3 linked regions of the Schizosaccharomyces pombe genome follow. The protein of the gene in region 1 interacts with the protein of each later gene in a pairwise test. Each region holds a gene or a part of one and is shown in the gene's direction. Other genes may lie near its edges.

Region 1 (4,775 bases):
CCTAATATGTCATGGATGGTGATGACCGGTTCACAGTTTGATGCTCTTAGTGATGAAGAAGTTGATTCATTGAAAGCTCTTTGTCTAGTTATTGCTCGCTGTGCTCCTCAGACAAAGGTGAAAATGATTGAAGCCTTGCATAGAAGAAAGGCGTTTGTAGCGATGACAGGTGATGGCGTTAACGATTCTCCATCTTTGAAGCAAGCTAACGTAGGAATCGCAATGGGTCAAAACGGAAGTGATGTAGCCAAAGATGCTAGTGATATTGTTTTAACGGACGACAATTTCTCGTCCATTGTCAATGCCATTGAAGAAGGACGCCGTATGTTTGATAACATCATGAGGTTTGTTCTGCACTTGCTTGTTTCAAACGTGGGCGAAGTAATACTCTTGGTGGTCGGCTTGGCCTTTAGAGACGAGGTTCATCTTTCCGTGTTCCCAATGTCTCCCGTAGAAATTCTTTGGTGTAATATGATTACCTCCTCTTTTCCTTCGATGGGACTGGGAATGGAGCTAGCTCAACCTGATGTAATGGAGCGTCTCCCTCACGACAACAAAGTTGGTATTTTCCAAAAGAGTCTAATTGTTGACATGATGGTGTATGGATTTTTCCTTGGAGTCGTTAGTCTTATGACTTGGGTTGTCATAATGTATGGATTCGGTACAGGCAATTTATCATATGATTGCAATGCCCACTATCATGCTGGATGCAACGATGTTTTCAAAGCACGGTCTGCTGTTTTTGCAGTTGTGACCTTTTGCATCCTTATTATGGCAGTCGAGGTGAAAAACTTTGACAACTCCCTATTCAACCTTCATGGGATTCCTTGGGGTGAATGGAACTTCCGTTATTTTCTCCATACGTTGGTTGAAAACAAATTCCTCGCTTGGGCCATTGCCCTTGCAGCTGTTTCGGTGTTTCCTACCATCTACATTCCTGTTATTAATAGAGACGTTTTCAAGCATACGTATATTGGATGGGAATGGGGAGTTGTTGCCGTTGCAGTGATGTTTTACTTTTTTTATGTCGAAATTTGGAAAAGCATTCGAAGAAGCTTGACCAATCCACAGAAAAAAGGAAAGTTTAGAAGAACGCTCAGTAATACGATTACCACTGAATCCAAATTGTCCGAAAAGGATTTAGAGCATCGTTTGTTTTTGCAGTCTCGAAGAGCCTAATGTTTTCTTGCCATGAATATGTATATGAATATGCGTGAGTGTATCGTTTTCACAGAACCGACAAATCGTAAAGGATTTATAATTTTTTTTTGATGATCGTGATTATACCGATCAATGACTTTAATTGGGAATTTGGGAAAATGTTGGTTGATTATAGTGTTTATTGTTTGTTTATGAAAAAGGCATATTAAAAAATAGTTTCACGAAAGGCAAAATCAAATGATCATATTGTTTACAATTATTGCATGCTCATATAAATCCTTTTTTTTCTTCTTCTTCTTCTTTTTTAATCGTTTAAAGACGTTTACTAATGAAAGACTTCTTTGCTGTGAATGGTAAATGGCAAGATCCTCTTTCATCTTCTGCTCTACTAATTAATTTTCTTCTCATTTTTATAATTACTTCCTTTTTATTTTGAGGAAAAGTTCCTTTAATCGCTTTTCTTGTTGATTTCCTTGTTTCATACTTTCTTTCATTTTTTCTATAATTTCTAGTCCGTTTTTTGTTAAGCTTCTTAAAGCAATAAAAAGACCAAAAAGAATAAATACAAGTCACTTTAGACTAATATCTTTAAATAATGTTGGCCGATCATTTCACGTCGCAACTAGCTATATATTTATTCACTTTAATCAATATGGCTTAACATAGCAAATTTAGAAGTAAAAAAATATCCCTTTTAATTTTTTTATTCTACAGGTAGTATATACAAATAATTAATGAGTTAGCTGTAAACACATTTCCTCGTTATCGCGATATAAAAATTTTCGATTAATCGGTTTAATTCATTAAGTCAATAGAGAATCTGTTGAAGAGAAAAGCGGATTCTACAAATGCCTCTTTATTCCAGCATTTTAAGAAAATAAAGAAGAAGATCTTGGTCGCAACGATGCCCATAAATTTGCGACATTCCTACTAGCCTTTTTTATTTACATTAACAAAACTGAACACAACCCCAAATGACAAACTCGGCCCTGAAATGCAAAGAAATAATTAAAAAAATAAAAAAAGAATAAAAGGAAACGACACCGATTATCTCATACATGTTCTCATGTTTGTGATTCCAAAATCTCAAAATCCAGTACTGGATGTAACGTACCACGCTACAGACTTCGTTCTGAGACATTGGCATCCTTGTTTTCTACCACTAATATATTTCAGTAGACGAGAAATACATACCTTGTAAACGGATACTATTAATAATACCAGACTATTTGATTTCCCTCTTTTAATCTTTACTTAAGCGAGTTTGTAGCTACTACTATTGTGTTTGGTGTTCTCTACTTTTCTAACTGAATTTTTTTTTCTACATAGCCGTTTGCTTCAATTCAGCTACTTGATAGTTGTTCATTTTGCTTTTAATTCACTTTTATAGCCTTTCGTAAACGATGTCTACTTTGTCTTATGTATCGCCTGATGCTTTAAAAGGCTGGTTAATGGAATCGCCTAACGAGATTAGCATAATCGATGTTCGTGACTACGATTACGAAGGAGAACGTATTCCTGGCAGTGTGCGTATTCCTTCCGACACTTTTCTCGCTAGTGTTGATCAGCATGTTGACGATCTCATGAAGAAGAGATCACTCATCGTCCATTGCACTTATTCTCAAGTTCGCGGTCCTAAAGCTGCCAGAGTACTTTCAGAAATTTTGAGAAACCGTATAACAGAAAGTAAGGAAAAGCTCTCTTTAAGCCAAAAAGAAAAGCTCTTTCAAAACCTTCCTACTGTTTACATCCTTCATGGTGGGTTTTCCGCATGGAAACGGCGGTATGGTGGTCAACAAGGTCTTATCGAGTATGATTAATTGATTGTGCTTGAAAAGTCCTTTGACTTCTTCCTTGTCACTCATATAAATCCTGCTTTAAACTTTTTTATTTGGTACGTTTTATCCCACTCCGGGTTCATACTTTGTGTTTTCGCAACACCATTCGTTTGATATAATCCTTACAATCTGTATGGATATAAACTACATCTCATAATCTCCAAGAACCTTAGTAGTAGTTTGCATGCCTACAATTATACAAACACATTTTCTTTAAAATAATCCTTCGTTTATCAGTGTTTTATACTTTTAATATTTACCTACTTCGTTAATAAGGTCATGTATAGACATTCTCATAATCGGTTTACCAATATATATTTATAAAGAATAAGTAAGGGAAGAAAAAAAGAGAGAACGATGCGATACTTCATCGAGTATCAGCTATCTTAATATTATCTAAATTTAATTAACTTTCTCATGAATAGTGTAGGTAATATTTTTGCAAAGAATCGCGCTTGCATGTTCCAGAGCAGTAATAAAAAGTATCAAAAAGTTGCTGATGCAAAAATGACTAATACTCACACCAATGTCCTTCCACGAGCCTTCGTCCTTTACTAAATAAAAAAAGTTAATTGTAACTATATCAGCCATTCCAACTGCCAAAAAGAAAGTAACTTGCTGAATCCCTCCCAGTCGTTTGTTCATTATTCCAAAAGCTGCCGAAAGTGCGATAAATGGAACCAGAATAGTGTACATTAAGAGTGCACCTTGTGTTACCGGATTGAATACAGGAATAAAACGTTTCACCGAATCCAAAGCGAATGTGGAAAGTGAAGCCACGTTTCCTGTACCAAAAAATGCGACGTTAATAAATATGTAGAAGAAAAGGGAAATGCGAATATGAGAAAGAGATAAATGGAATTTTGCATCTTTCTTTCTGCTATATTCGGGATGTAGTTGTTCCGTATATTTTTGAAGTTCTGTTTCTAGTTCCATCCATAATCCTAATGTTATAAATAAAACAACATAGAAGAGTGCTTCAAAAGAAATAGATAACATGCACATTGTAGGCGAAAATGTGAGAAACAAAATAGCCAGACGGTCAAGAAAATAGTGTTTACAAGACCGAATATGATGACTTGGAATGATGTACGACGTTATGAAAAGTCCAAATGCAACTAAACGTAAAATTGGTGGTATGGCAATATTCCTTTGCAGACTGTCTGCAATTTTAAGCGTAACAGGGACAGTTGCCATAATAATAAGAACTTGTAAAACCAATTGTTTGTTTGTGACCGTTGAGCTATATTGAAATGCTTGATTTCGTCGGTAAAGAATATAAAAAACCCCAGCAACTGACATTGCAAATCCTCCAGCGAAAATAAATAATAACGATTCCTTTTTATTAACTGGTAAAATCGTAAAAAAGCATAATAAGCTCGTAAGCACTGACCACGAGACTGATATAGTTTTGTGAGAAAAAGCATAATCCGCATGAAGGAGCCATGGCCATGCGGCCAATCCCATTAAAATTACGGAAAATCCTTCGCGGTGAAAATAACTGTAAACGATAAATTGTAACAGACAGAGAATACACAACGAAATAAACAAAATTTTTAATAGAGAAAACCCATGCTTTTGCTTTGCAACTGTTAAAAAATTTTTGAAACCAAGTTTGGTATTTGGGAAAATTGAATGAATGAGTTGCAGAAATATGGTTGGGAAAAGAGCATACCCATAATAAAATGGTGGACTAGACTGGATATAAAAAAAGATGCAAATTAACAAAAAAGGAATATTAAATGCGACTCTCTTGACGACGGAAACAGGCTTTAC
Region 2 (6,832 bases), on another chromosome or scaffold:
CGCCTCATTGGAACAGGTTCACTGGGTTTTGTGATAGGAGATGCCCTACCGTTTACGAGACATTCTTCGTGGTAAAGAGCTTGGGCTGTGAAATAATGCTTTAAAAGGTTTTTTACACGTAAAGTAACTGTACCTTTAAATTGGAATTCTTCCATATCATCAAGCTTTAAGAATCTCCAACATACAAGGCGCTGAAAATAAGCTCTCACAAGAGGCGACCAATGAAGAAACAATTCCTGGAAAGTATTTTCTTCTAGTAACCATTGCAACGTTACCAATTCTTTAGATTTTATATCTAAATATGGCCAGACAGCATAAATGAAAGTTATACTACGAACAATGGACATATTGTGGGAAGTTGATATTAATCTTTTGGCAACTGAAATCCAAAAAGAAAAATCAAAACGGTGTGAGAAATCGTTAAATACCCCGAAACACTGTTCAACAAGAGAACACAGCAAGAAACAAGATTGAAGATTAAAAGCAGGGGTGTTTTTGGCAACATTAATTAAAACTTGCTCTAAAACGGCTAATAAACGCATCTGCTCTTGTCTGCAATCCCCAATCTTTTTAAAAGCATCTTTAATATGTCCGACAAACTGTTGAAGAGTCGATAAAGTCGTGGCAGTTACAGGCATCTTAGGATTGTATTCTTCCATTGATGGATTTACTTCTGGTAAAGTCTTACATGGAAACTGCTCATGTCCTGTAGGTAACATTAATGGCTTTTTGTCGCTAATATGTATAACCGAAATGGTTAATTCAAGAAGATAAGCATGTAAGCATATGTAACCTGGAGCGAAATATATGACATTATCAGGTAATTCGAAAGAGAATTGCAAAGCTAAAAAAGAATGATAGCATGATAAAAACTCGAAAAAGAATCCACCTGTAGAAGACTTAAAGCGACGCATCCATGCTCGTGTGAATTCAATAGGCTGCCTATTGTAACCTATAGTAAAAGGCGTTGAAGTTCGTTTTGGGTAATACGGATGCATAGTCGAGGAAAATTGGTCAGTAAAAAATGGCGCAAGATACTTATGTGAAATAATCATTATTTTTTCGTCGAAGGATGAGCCCAAAGCATCAATGTACTTTTTCTTTACATCTAATGCGCTCAAGAAATGGTCGGCAAAAAGTGGAAGTTGAAAAAAGGAGAGAACCAAGATACTCGCACAAAATGTCGTTAATGAATACGGCAAGGACTTTTGAGAAAGCAGATGAACTACAAATGTCAATGTATCGTAAAGTATTAATTGGTGTTCCAAGTACAATAAAGCAGAGTGTTCCACTTTGTTCCAACAATGATGCTTGGCGATAGCAAGTATGGCCTTTGTATATGTGATACGTTCTGAAGTAGAAATATTAGATTGTAAACGTCGAAGAATGGATACCCACCAGTTATACAAAGAATGCCTAAGTTTATCCAATTCCGGTTCGGAAACGTTTTTAGTGGTTAAAGAAGCCAAATGTGGTAATAAAAACCCTCTTATAAGAACTACCTTATCAGAATCCTGCTGATTAATAAAATTGATGAATTGCTCGGATAAAGGACACTTTATTGGAGAAACCAGTGGCTCCGAAAGACGTAAGGTAGATTGGACGGCCTTATTTATTAAGCTAGAAGGCGCTATCTCCTCCGCATTAAGGCGTAGGCTTTGAGAAGACAACTGAGAAAAAGGAGAGGTAGAACGAGAAGAGGAATCAGAAGATGATGATGAGGGTGATTCGTTGTAAGGCTCATTTAAGATTGTTGAGGAATGGCTTACTAAAGTGTTTTCATATTTACCATAATCATCTGTAATCGAAAATGGTTCAAAGTTCGAATCAAGGTCGTCAGCTACAAGCACATTGGTTGTATCGACGGGATCATGTTCCTGAATACATTTTACCACAACAGGATAGTTTTTTGTTTGGGAACCCGAATGCTCTTCCTCTTTAAAGGAGGCTGTATTGGGAGGACCCATAATAGCGGCAAGGATCTCATATCGTGATTGAAAGTCACCCATTCAGAATTTCAGAAATGAAGCTAAATGTAAAGAAAAGAATAAGTGTGAAATGCAAATAAAAAGAATATAATTAATCCCTAGATTAAAACCAAATTAATTAACATGAGCCGTGCAATCACCACTAATAAAGAAATGAAGATTTAAAGGACAAGCTATGCAAATGCCAGAAAAAAATGTACCAAATATGCTAAAAGATGCTCAAAAGTTTTTCCTACAGTAGAGAAATTTTGACTTTTTTAATTTTTTAAAAACTTTATCGATAAAAGACAGAGAAATCGGTAACCAAAAGATTCGCGGTTAAAAAAACAAGAAAAATACTTCCGAGTTTAGAATACTTGTATTCTAAAAGAATGAAAAGTAAACAAGTAGAAGATATCTTTAAATTAAATATATGAAATCCGCAATGTAAATTAGCATCCCCAACACTTTCGTTCACACCCAGTGTAGATGCTTGGTTAAGGCTGAGTTTCCGAACCCACCAGCTTGAGGGTATACGGCTACATATGACATATATTTCAGTAGACAAACATAATAAAACCAATAATTAAAATTGTTTTTTTAAGCTAAATGAAAAGACATTTGAAATTTTAAGCTGTATTGTCTTACAGCTTCAACTCAGTGTTCATACAATGCCAATCTCCTTTTGGTAGTTAGTACCCAACAATCGCCTAAACCAAATAGAACCCGCCAACTTACCAAACAAAACGGAATATAAGGACAGAGAATAACTATATGCAACGGATTATAAATAACTGATATTGAGTTTTCTTTTAGATCAAATATTTCAAGTTTAATGTTGGGGAATCGCGAATGATAAAGTTAAGCAATACAATAGGTCAGTATGCGTTTTCGATTGAATGATTCATTCTCCGGAAAGAGTTGGACCATAGATAATGTACAATGGACTCCCCAAAATCTTGTAGCTTGGATTATGGAGCTCAATATTGGACTTAGTGATGAAGCAAAACTATTATTGCCGAACGGAATGTCTTTGAATGAAACCGTACTAAATAGTGAAAGTGATGTGGTTATTTACGTACTAGATCAAAACTTGTTGACTTTCACCTACGATGGTGATAAAATTCCTTCTATTCCTTCTCTGAAAGGACAACCAATATCTAATGTACTTACTGGGATTATAGCTGATTCTTCTTCAGATCAATGGAAAGATAAAATCAGCAAGTGTCTTTCATTATTATCTGATATTTTAGAGTCTTCTTCAAAGATTCATAATCAATTAAGCGTATGCCATGATGAGTATTCTACTAGTATTGTTTCTCCAGAAGTTGCAATGAATTATTTACAAAGAAGACAATCTGGTATGAAAGATTTACTTTTCGTTTTCTACGAAAGACTAGATCGAGTATCTGTGTCTGATTTACTTCATGATTTCCTCGCTCTACCAACTGGTTCTTTACCCATTACTCCTCTTAAAATACTTTCAACAAATTGGACTAAATTGGACTCCTGGTTAAACTCCATTTCAGCTCGTTATGCTGAAGCTCAAAAACGAGTCCAACAGTGCATTGGCGCCGCAAATAGTATTATCGTTTCCCCATTCAAGGAAGTTCCTTCAATCAAGGAAGGAGATGATGCTTATTATCATCTACGTTCCGTCGCTCAGGATGCAGCCAATATATTGCAAGAGATCCTTAAAATAGAGTCAACTTCAACTACTTCTCAAATCAAACCAAAATGTAATTACGAAACCGAAATTACTGATTGCATGGAAAAACTTCAAAGTAATCTGTCGGAATTAAAAAGTTCTAGAAAGTCATCACTAATATCTTTGAAATCTTTTTGGCTTTCCTTTTATAAGGTTTCTCTTAGATATGATGCATTGTACGAATATCTTCGACAAATAGCAGAAGAGCTTGACAGAAGCAAATTCGTTCTTTCTCAGTCTCGAAACATTTTTTCGCTATATATCGACATTTTAATGGAGGCACTGAGGAGGACTGAATGGCAGGAATCATACAATGTAAGCCATGATAGTTCTCTTCCTTTAGACCAGGAGAAGGAGCTTTCTCTTAGGAAGTCTTGGCTCAGTCATTTCTCTAATTTGCTTTTTAATCATGGCCAGCTAAAGTACTTACCAGTTTTAACTCGTGACGAAATTTCTAATTATTTACTCAATATTCAAGCACATCCGAATTACCAAACTTTTCATCAAATGCTAAGCAATCGGCTCTCAGAATATTTGGGCTTTCCTGGAAGTCCTCGAGAAGCCGTTTCCAATACGGTTCAAGCGAACAATTCATTACATGAAAAATTGGCAATGTATCAAAATCGTTGCAATAATTTAGAGGCAATGTTAAGCCATCAAAACGGCTTTAATTATAACATTAACAATGATGGTTTATCTCCAAATGCTCCACATCCACCCATCAATGAGCAGTCTAATTCTTCTCAGCCATTTTACCGTGTTTCCCCTAGTATTGTGCCTCTAAACGTAATTCGTAAATTAACTAATCGCAAAACTTCTTTTACCGACAGCCACATATTACGACTTCAAGATGAGGTTAATCAATTACGCAACGAATTAGATTTGGTAAATAAAAGAAATGAGGACTTATTAATTGAGCTTCAAGGGAAGGAAGAAAAGATCCAATACCTCGAAACTGAAAATGAGGAAGTGCTACAAAAATACGAAAATTTACAGGAGGAACTTTCATCAACACGGAAACTGCTTACGAAAAATGAAGCGGCAGTTGCAGAACAGCAATCAAACGAGGAGATGCATTCTAATGAACCGAACATATTAAACCTTTACTCCGTATTTGAGGGCAAAGTTGATAGCTTGCAAGAACTTTATAATGCTTTCAAGCTTCAACTCACGAGTTTGAAGCAAAAGGGCGAATACGCTACTCTTGCAAAAGATGCCGAAGCAGTACAACATATTATTGAAGAGAGAGATTATGCTCTTGCAGAGAAAGCTGATTTACTCAAACTTTCCGAGAATCGAAAAGAACAATGTAAGATATTAACTCAGAAACTTTATACCATTGTATTCCGGTGTAATGAGTTACAGTCTGTTCTTCGGGAATGCGTTACTCAGCCTGGATTTGATTCAGATAACGAAAGAGATGGCCATGCATCGATTCCAGATCGCCAAATTGAATTTAATTCCAAAGATTTACAGTATCTTTATTGGATGGATGGGGAGGATGCTGATAGGAATTTCCAGGAATTTTTGAACAGAATGAGTTCTTTAGATTTTGACTCTTTCCATAACTTTGTTGTCAGTGTTTTGACTCAAGCACATAATCATGAACTTCGTTGGAAACGTGAATTTCAATCTAACAGGGACAAGGCGCTGAAAGCTATTTTGGACTCTCAAAGTAAAGTCTCATTAAGGAATTTCAAACAAGGATCCTTGGTCTTGTTTTTGCCTACTCGACGTACCGCCGGTAACAAAAAGGTGTGGGCGGCTTTTAATGTTAACGCTCCTCATTATTATTTGAACACTCAACCGCATTTGAAACTTGAAAGCCGCGACTGGATGTTAGGAAGGGTAACTTCCATTGAAGATCGTACTGCTGATGATTCGACGGATAAATGGCTTCGCCTGCCTTCAGGTACAATATGGCATTTAGTGGAAGCTATCGATGAAAGATTTTAAATCATTATGTGACCTAGCTTATACCTTCACTTGCTTTTTCTTTGCTTGTATTTGTGGGACTGATTCTATATGACAGACATTTGGTATTATCATACTTCTATTTTTTCAGGTTTTGATCTGTTATGGCATTATTTACTGAAATTTGTTTTTTGGTCTCGCCTAGTAAGGTATCCGACGTAAATTAACGACTACTATTGCTGTAGCGTGTCTCTCGTCTTGTAACATGATAAATTTTTAATGAACTTTTAATCTATTCGTATATTATTTAATATGTAGAACGCAATCGCTCGCAATAAAAGTGATTTGCAAATATTATTTATCACACCGAACAACGCACTGGTGGTAAGGAGTACCTTATGTAAATTGCTTTGTGTAGTGTGTCCCATCAAAGTACAACCTGGAATTATGATTCCCTCAAAAAATATCCAAAAGATCAAGTTGGTTACGTTCGATGCTTTTGGAACAATCCTTCATTTAAGTAAACCTGTTCCAATTGTGTACAGCGAAGTCGCTCAGAAGTATGGAGTTCATGCAACTATTGATGAAATTGAACACAATAGTAATAAAGGTTAGCTTTTGGTTTCTATTTATCTAATAATTTAGCATTCAAGGATTTCAGTGAAAAGCATAAGAATCATGGAAAAAAGTCAGGATTAAATCCTCATGACTGGTGGATCAAAGTATGTGTCTGAATTTCATTGAGATTTGTGTTTTGTAAAGAATTGAATCTCTTGATTTCTAAAAAACCTTTACATGCTAACAATTTTAGGTTATCGAACATTCTTTTCCAACTCCTGTTCCTGCAGAAATGGCTGAAGAGCTATGGAGTTACTTTTCCAAAAAGACGGGTTACACGATTCATCCTCTTCTGATTGATTTCCTTAAGAGAAATAAAGAAGAGAGGAAATACATTATTGGTATTATTTCAAACACAGACGAAAGAATTCGTACAGTGCTTGAAGATTACGGCATAGATCATCTAATAGATATATATGCGTTTTCGTACGACGTTGGATTTGAAAAACCAAGCAGGGAAATATTTGATTATGCTATGGAAAAGGCTGTTAAACTTCTTGGACAGGAGATTCAACCAGAAGAATGTATGCACCTAGGGGATGATTTAATAAAAGATGTTTCAGCAGCAAGAAACATCCAATGGAATGCTGAATACTGTGACATAAAAACCAATTTCCTGAAATAT
Region 3 (6,568 bases), on another chromosome or scaffold:
TATTATGGTGCCTGGTGTGGCTTTTTTCTACTCTGGCTTAGCAAGAAGGAAAAATACATTGGCTCTTATCATGCTCTCTATGCTTGGTTTATGTGTTAGTTTTTTCCAATGGTATTTCTGGGGTTATTCTCTTGCTTTTTCTCAAACTGGAACCTCTGGTTATATTGGCAATCTTCGTCATTTTGCCTTTATTCGCACACTTGCCGATTACTCTCCTGGTAGCAATAATATTCCCGAGCTTGTATTTGCAAATTTTCAAGGAATGTTCGCCGCAATTACTGTAGCCCTCTTCACTGGTGCCGCCGCTGAAAGAGGTCGTATTGGTCCAATGCTCATCATCACATTTGTGTGGCTCACTGTCGTTTATTGTCCCATAGCGTGTTGGATTTGGAATCCAAATGGTTGGGCTTTTAAATTTGGTGTATACGATTTCGCTGGCGGAGGACCTGTAGAAGTTGGATCAGGATTTGCAGCTTTGGCGTATACGGTTTGTTTAGGACGTCGATCCAAATTTGTTGAGGAACAATTTCGCCCTCATTCTGTGCTCAATGTTGTATTGGGAACATCTCTGCTATGGTTTGGTTGGCTTGGTTTCAACGGTGGTAGTGCTTACGGCTCCAATCTGCGAGCCGCTATGGCAATCACCAACACAAACTTAGCAGGTGCTGTAGCTGGTTTAGTATGGGTTATTTACGACTACATTTTTCGCACTAGGAAATGGTCAACCATAGGTTTTTGTTCCGGGGTTGTTGCCGGTTTGGTGGCTGCAACGCCTTGTGCTGGTTTTGTGAGTCCTCATGCCTCTTTGGCAATTGGTGCTATTACTGGCTTATGTTGCAATTGGGCCATTAAGTTAAAGTCACATATGCGCATTGATGATGCGATGGATATTTTCGCTATCCACGGTGTTGCGGGTTTTGTGGGTACCTTTTTGAATGGTTTGTTTGCCGTTGATTATATCGCAGCAATGGATGGTATTTATGTTGGTGAAAACAAAATCAGAGGTGGTTGGTTTGATCACCATTGGCGCCAACTAGGCTTGCAAATGGCCTATATTTGTGCTGTTGGTGCATACGACTTTGTTGTCACGTTTATCATTTTATTCATTACGGACAAAATTCCCTACCTTCAACTTCGAGTGAGCCCTGATGCTGAAGAAATTGGTGTGGATGCTGATCAAATAGGTGAATACGCGTTTGATTATATTGAAGAACGTCGTGAATATAAGCATTGGAAGATTTCCCCTGCCGGTGTACCTGAAGAAATCATTATTTCCAATGGCGTTGCTCAACCTACTGGAAATGTGGCTGCTCCCGGCAAGATTCTAGAATCAACAAACCCATTGGAGCTTGGACTTACGATCTAAATCTTTTTGCATCGTACAAAGTTATTTGGGTTTAAAAAAAAAAAGTAAAAGGTTGAATTGGAGAAAAGATTTTAAGTTAATAAAAGAAATGAAAATTTTGGTAGATTGGTTTATGATTGTTTAAAGAAAAAAAGAAAATAGCACAACTACAAGGTCGCTGTTTGGGAAGTTTTGAACAAAATTACAAAGACTAGAAATTTCTTGAAAGATTTGCTTGTTTTTACTTCTAAAGAGGTCAGAATCTTAAATTATAATTTTAAGGTTTTTTTTTTGTTAACAGCATTTAAAATGAATTCGGTTTAAAGGCAAGACTAATAATTGTAATGAAAATATTTTTATGCGAATTTGGTTTGTAATTTGTGTATCCAAATATGAAGAGAATTAATTATCTTATAAGCCAAAAGATTTAAAATGAGCAAGTCAATCTTTGTTTCCAGTCATAATAAGTTTGTATTTTGTATAATCATCATTCACCATGAAACCAATGAATAGGTACAAAAAAGTACGTCGAATTAGGCTTTAATAACTATTTACTGTTTACGAATTTACCGGAAGTGAAAACCTCACTACTGCATCGAAACAAAAAATAAAAAGTAAACTCCCACTGCGAGACTCGAACTCGCAACCTTCCGGTTAAAAGCCGGACGCTCTAAGCCGATTGAGCTAAACGGGACTTGGTTGAATGGGGTTAAACTTAGTAGTTTATATCTAATTACTTTTAGAACGTATTTTTAATGAGAATATTGAATATGAAATTTCTATATAAACTTGGCGATTGAAATTGATAATTAGCGAATCTCTTGTATCCATATATGTATATTTTATATGTATTTAAATAATATTCAGTTTTGAATAAAGAAGAGTCTTTGAGTCTTAAATTAGGCAATAGATGATGAGTTCCTATGAATTTTTTTAATTTTTTAATAAAAATAACAAATCAAATTAAAGTAAAGGTTAAAAAAATATAAAATTCAAGAAAGAAACATGTTGAGTTATTCTACTCATTATTACAAAAATAATATGTAATGTCTGAACCATCATTCCGCTTTACTAAATGTTTTATTTATTTTATTGCATTACTGTTAAGATGTCAATTTATATATATATTCAATAAAACTGTAAGAGGGTTTGAAGGGCCAGTAAAATTAGCAGTCTATAGTAAGATATATAATTTATAATTTTTATGAACTTTGGTACTCTTGTTTCAGTAAATTGTGTGAATTTATTTATAGTGCTAATAAGATAAATTCGATGAGGATAATTTCTTACAAGTGCCAAACAGTTGAAGTAATAACTTTATTCATAGTATGGATTTTTTTTTTCTACTTCTCTTTCATTTTTGACCTACATATTCCATTTCTACTTTCTCTACCGCCATTGGATTCGCTCATCCCTCTAGTACTTACGTTGCTTTTTCCTTCCTTCTTCCACACACCAGTGACAAAAAAGCTTGTATATTCAATTGTCTCTTGATTTTTATCAAATACAAGCTGAGATTAAAAGAGCTGGACATTTACTACAAATTTTAGTTGTTTGCTTAATTCCCATTGGTTTTTGTTTTGTAAAAGTACGTGCGGGAATCATACTCTTATTGAACTTCTTATACCTTACACGTAGCGTCGATTGAAAAGATTTTATTTCTCAACTCATCTAAAAATTGCTTTCTTTTTTAAGGCCTTCATCTGGATATATCATTTATCTCCGTAAAGCCACCTTTTTTAACCGCTTTTACGTTTGGGAGATCTGAACCCTTTACCTCATTATTTTAATTCCTTAAAGTATTAAAGTTCACTAGCTTTTCTTCTAATTGTTGGCTTTTTTCGTTTTATGACTGATAATAATTCAAAGAGCAAAGATTCTTCACAAAAAATTCCAAATGATTCGTTAACTCCCACTATTTCGAAAGGTTTAAGAAAAGATGTTTTTTATTGGACTAAAGCCATAGCTTATACAACGTGGAATTTCTTCGATTCTAGTCCAGTTACACCTCAAAGAAATCCCATATCTCTGTTCGTGCGTGGCCTTTCTCATCCTTTTTTACGCCATCGTTTATCCAAATCCCAATTTAATGAATGGTTTTTATCACATAACGGTGTTGATCCAGTTCAAGCTCAAACATTGCCCGATCCTCTTTTGTTTGATATTCCGGACCATCAAGAAACGTCTTATAGTTTGCTTGAAGGTTACTCAGTCACTGCTCACGATCATTCCGACACTTCACCTTTGCCGATAACAAGCTCCAACCAAAAGGAAGGCAAAAAAAATGTATCATCGATTGATGTGTCAATGGTTTCCGACTCTTCTGAATTTAAGCCCGATAGCTTACAACACGAAAAATTGGTGAAGAAATGCAATCAACTTCGTCTTCAAAAGCTCATTAATTCTAGCGAACTTGCACAGATTGATTTGGAGTTGTCCAAACTCTATTCTCGAAGAAGGCAAGTTCTTGAACGCCTTAGCAAGATCGAGGAACAGAATTTAAAGTATACTTCCAAGCTGGCTTCTGTTGAGAAACTGATGTTAGATTCGGATGCTCAAGATTTGTATAGCTCATATTCTCATGATTTAATTCCTTCACAAATTGAAGCGGGTAAAAATGGAGCTAACCCCGATGTTTTTGATGATACACACGACAAGTATACAGATAATTTATCTGCTAGGGCTATCTCTCCAAGAGCTCCAAGGCCATCTACGGCTAGTGAAGTGGTATCAGATTACTTTGAACAGAATTCCGCTTTTTCTAAAGCACCAGAGAATACTGAATCATCTGTGAATCAAAATTATATAGTTGGAAATCTCGTAAAGCAGTTTCAAGCTCATTCTGAATATATTACGAGTCTTGATTTTTCCCATCCTTTTGGAACTTTAGCTACGGCCTCGACTGACAAAACTGTGAAAGTTTGGGATATGGCGGGTGTTGTATACCTGGGTTCATTGAAAGGTCATTCTGATTATGTTTCTTGTCTGGCGATTCAAGACTCCTTTATTGCTACTGGCTCTATGGATACAACCGTGCGGTTATGGAATTTAGATAATGATGTACTTCATAAGGATAATCCTGTTGAAGAGAGCCTTAATTCTCCTCCCGATCAACCTGTTGACAATGCCACAAATGTTTTAACATCTCACACTGCCCCTGTCACTGCATTAGCATTATCTAGTGATGATGTGCTTATAACCGGTGCCGATGATAAAACTGTTCGACAGTGGGATATCGTTACGGGGCGTTGTATTCAAACTTTGGACTTTGTGTGGGCGGAAACTCATGATACATCTACTAGTCAAATTTTGGTCAGTGACACTTACAAACAAGAACCTTTCATCAGAGCTTTAGACTGCTTAGATGCTGCTGTGGCTAGTGGGACTGTCGATGGACTTATTCGCATCTGGGATTTGCGAATCGGTCTTCCTGTGAGAAGTTTCATTGGGCACACAGCTCCTATTTCTTCTTTGCAATTCGATTCCAACCATTTGTATTCCGGAAGCTATGACAATTCTGTTAGAATATGGGATTTACGAAGTGGCTCGCCAATTAATATTATACCTATGGAGAAAAAAGTGAATTCCTTAAGACTGTATCAAGGTCGTCTTGCTGTAGCATCTGATGAACCAAATGTTAGGATATTTGATACTGTATCTAATCGGAACTGGATTTGTTCAATTCCTTCTCACTCTGATTCCATAGCAGCCGAACCTAACTCAGTACCTACTTCTGTTCAATATAAAGATCGCTTTTTGGTGGATGGAAAGTCTGATGGATCTGTTAGCGTTTTTTCTGCTTAATTTGTATTTTTTATCCACACCTTTATTTATTATACTCTCGTTATTGTGTTGAATCTGGATAACGTTAATTTTAAAATTTTATGTCTTTATGCTTTGGTTAATGGGTATTAACTTCTGTTTGGTTTTTTTATTTATTTATGGACAAATAAAAAGGAACGAGACATTGCGAATAAAAAACTGTGATGTTAATTTTGTTCAAAATATTTAAAAAAATTCTCAAAGCAAATTGTTTGATCACCACCTCCCTTCTGCTTCTTATACTGTAGGTTTAAAATTTAGTAAATAAAAATCTTTTCTAGTTTACATTTTTTTGGTTTTACTAGTATGAAGTACGCAACCTCATTCTGATCTGAGATGTTGTATTTCATTTTGTTGATCCAGTTTACAAAACACGCTCAGCGTGTTTAATGTCAACTACACATAATAAGTATTGAAGAATCTTTTTGAAATTAGCAATTTGAACTCACACAGTGAGTAAAATATGGAAATAACCAAGCTCTTTTTATATTTCAGATTAACTGAATGGTCATTTTATTTTTGAAGCATAAATAGTCATAAATGCTAAAATTTCAAAATTTTACATCTGCAATATATATAGAGAATTAAACAACTGCGTTCATCTGTCGTCAACAGTCTAACAATGTCAGAAAACTGGTAGCGTTACTTTTTAAAACATCGACATAACTTTTAGCATTTTGTATGAGGCTATTTTAAAAACTAAGTAGAGAACATGATAGGTCCAAGCATTCCAAATCACAAAGAATATATTTAACATGTAAGAGTGTTAATACCAAAAAAGTATGTACTGAGGGCAAAAGATAATAAAGAAGTCATAAGTCATAACAAGATAAAATAAGAAAGTTATAAGAAAAGATGTGTATAATTAATGCTTATTCTCAAGCTTTTTCCAAGTGTTGAAAGCACGTACAGCGTTATAGGCAGTACGGAACGTTTTTCTTGCATTGAAATTTTCCCGGACGTTTGGAAGCAAATTGGAGGTTGCGGGACGCTTTTCAGACAGGAAGGGGTGCTTCAACGCATCAGCAGCAGTTAAACGTTTCGAAGGGTCGTTTTCCAAACATTTTTTAATAAAGTCCTTGGCCGTTTCTGAAATGCCAGACCAGCAAGGATCGTTAAAAGTGTACTCGTTAGCTAAAATTGCTTCTATAACTTCAACCTGAGAAGGTCGAGCAAATGGAGTATAACCACTGAGTAAAAAATAAGTTATAACGCCAATAGCCCACATATCTCTATAAACAGTATTAGTCAAGATACATAACTTCTGAATTAAAATGGTAGTTGATCAACTTACACAGGTTTTCCATATCCGGTTCGACGAAAGACTTCGGGTGCCATGTACTCTGGTGTCCCACATGCCGTCATGAGCATATAGTATTGAGAATCCTCATAAAAGTGGGA

The links.
Region 2: the proteins of ibp1 (region 1) and atg11 interact in a two-hybrid assay, tested with the Schizosaccharomyces pombe proteins (2 studies listed by BioGRID).
Region 3: the proteins of ibp1 (region 1) and mdv1 interact in a two-hybrid assay, tested with the Schizosaccharomyces pombe proteins (2 studies listed by BioGRID).

Annotation. Positions count from the first base shown.
Region 1 is NC_003423.3:610,106-614,880, forward strand, and holds ibp1 (Cdc25 family phosphatase Ibp1 ), read left to right. Parts: upstream 1-2,313; 5' UTR 2,314-2,564; coding exon 2,565-2,981; 3' UTR 2,982-3,214; downstream 3,215-4,775. Other genes in the region: P-type calcium transport ATPase Cta3, read left to right, coding at 1-1,179; its8 (pig-N family GPI synthesis protein), read right to left, coding at 3,402-4,775. UniProt on the Schizosaccharomyces pombe protein: May play a role in DNA replication checkpoint via regulation of hsk1 or may act downstream of hsk1 in an S phase regulatory pathway.
Region 2 is NC_003424.3:2,629,388-2,636,219, reverse strand, and holds atg11 (autophagy associated protein kinase regulator Atg11), read left to right. Parts: upstream 1-2,668; 5' UTR 2,669-2,850; coding exon 2,851-5,631; 3' UTR 5,632-5,772; downstream 5,773-6,832. Other genes in the region: protein ahk1, read right to left, coding at 1-2,009; SPOM_SPAC7D4.05 (hydrolase), read left to right, coding at 6,037-6,199, 6,235-6,311, 6,401-6,832. UniProt on the Schizosaccharomyces pombe protein: Involved in cytoplasm to vacuole transport (Cvt), pexophagy, mitophagy and nucleophagy. Recruits mitochondria for their selective degradation via autophagy (mitophagy) during starvation.
Region 3 is NC_003424.3:1,731,800-1,738,367, forward strand, and holds mdv1 (CCR4-Not complex subunit Caf4/Mdv1), read left to right. Parts: upstream 1-2,795; 5' UTR 2,796-3,193; coding exon 3,194-5,149; 3' UTR 5,150-5,508; downstream 5,509-6,568. Other genes in the region: plasma membrane ammonium transmembrane transporter Amt2, read left to right, coding at 1-1,366; calcium/calmodulin-dependent protein kinase Cmk1, read right to left, coding at 6,033-6,399, 6,462-6,568.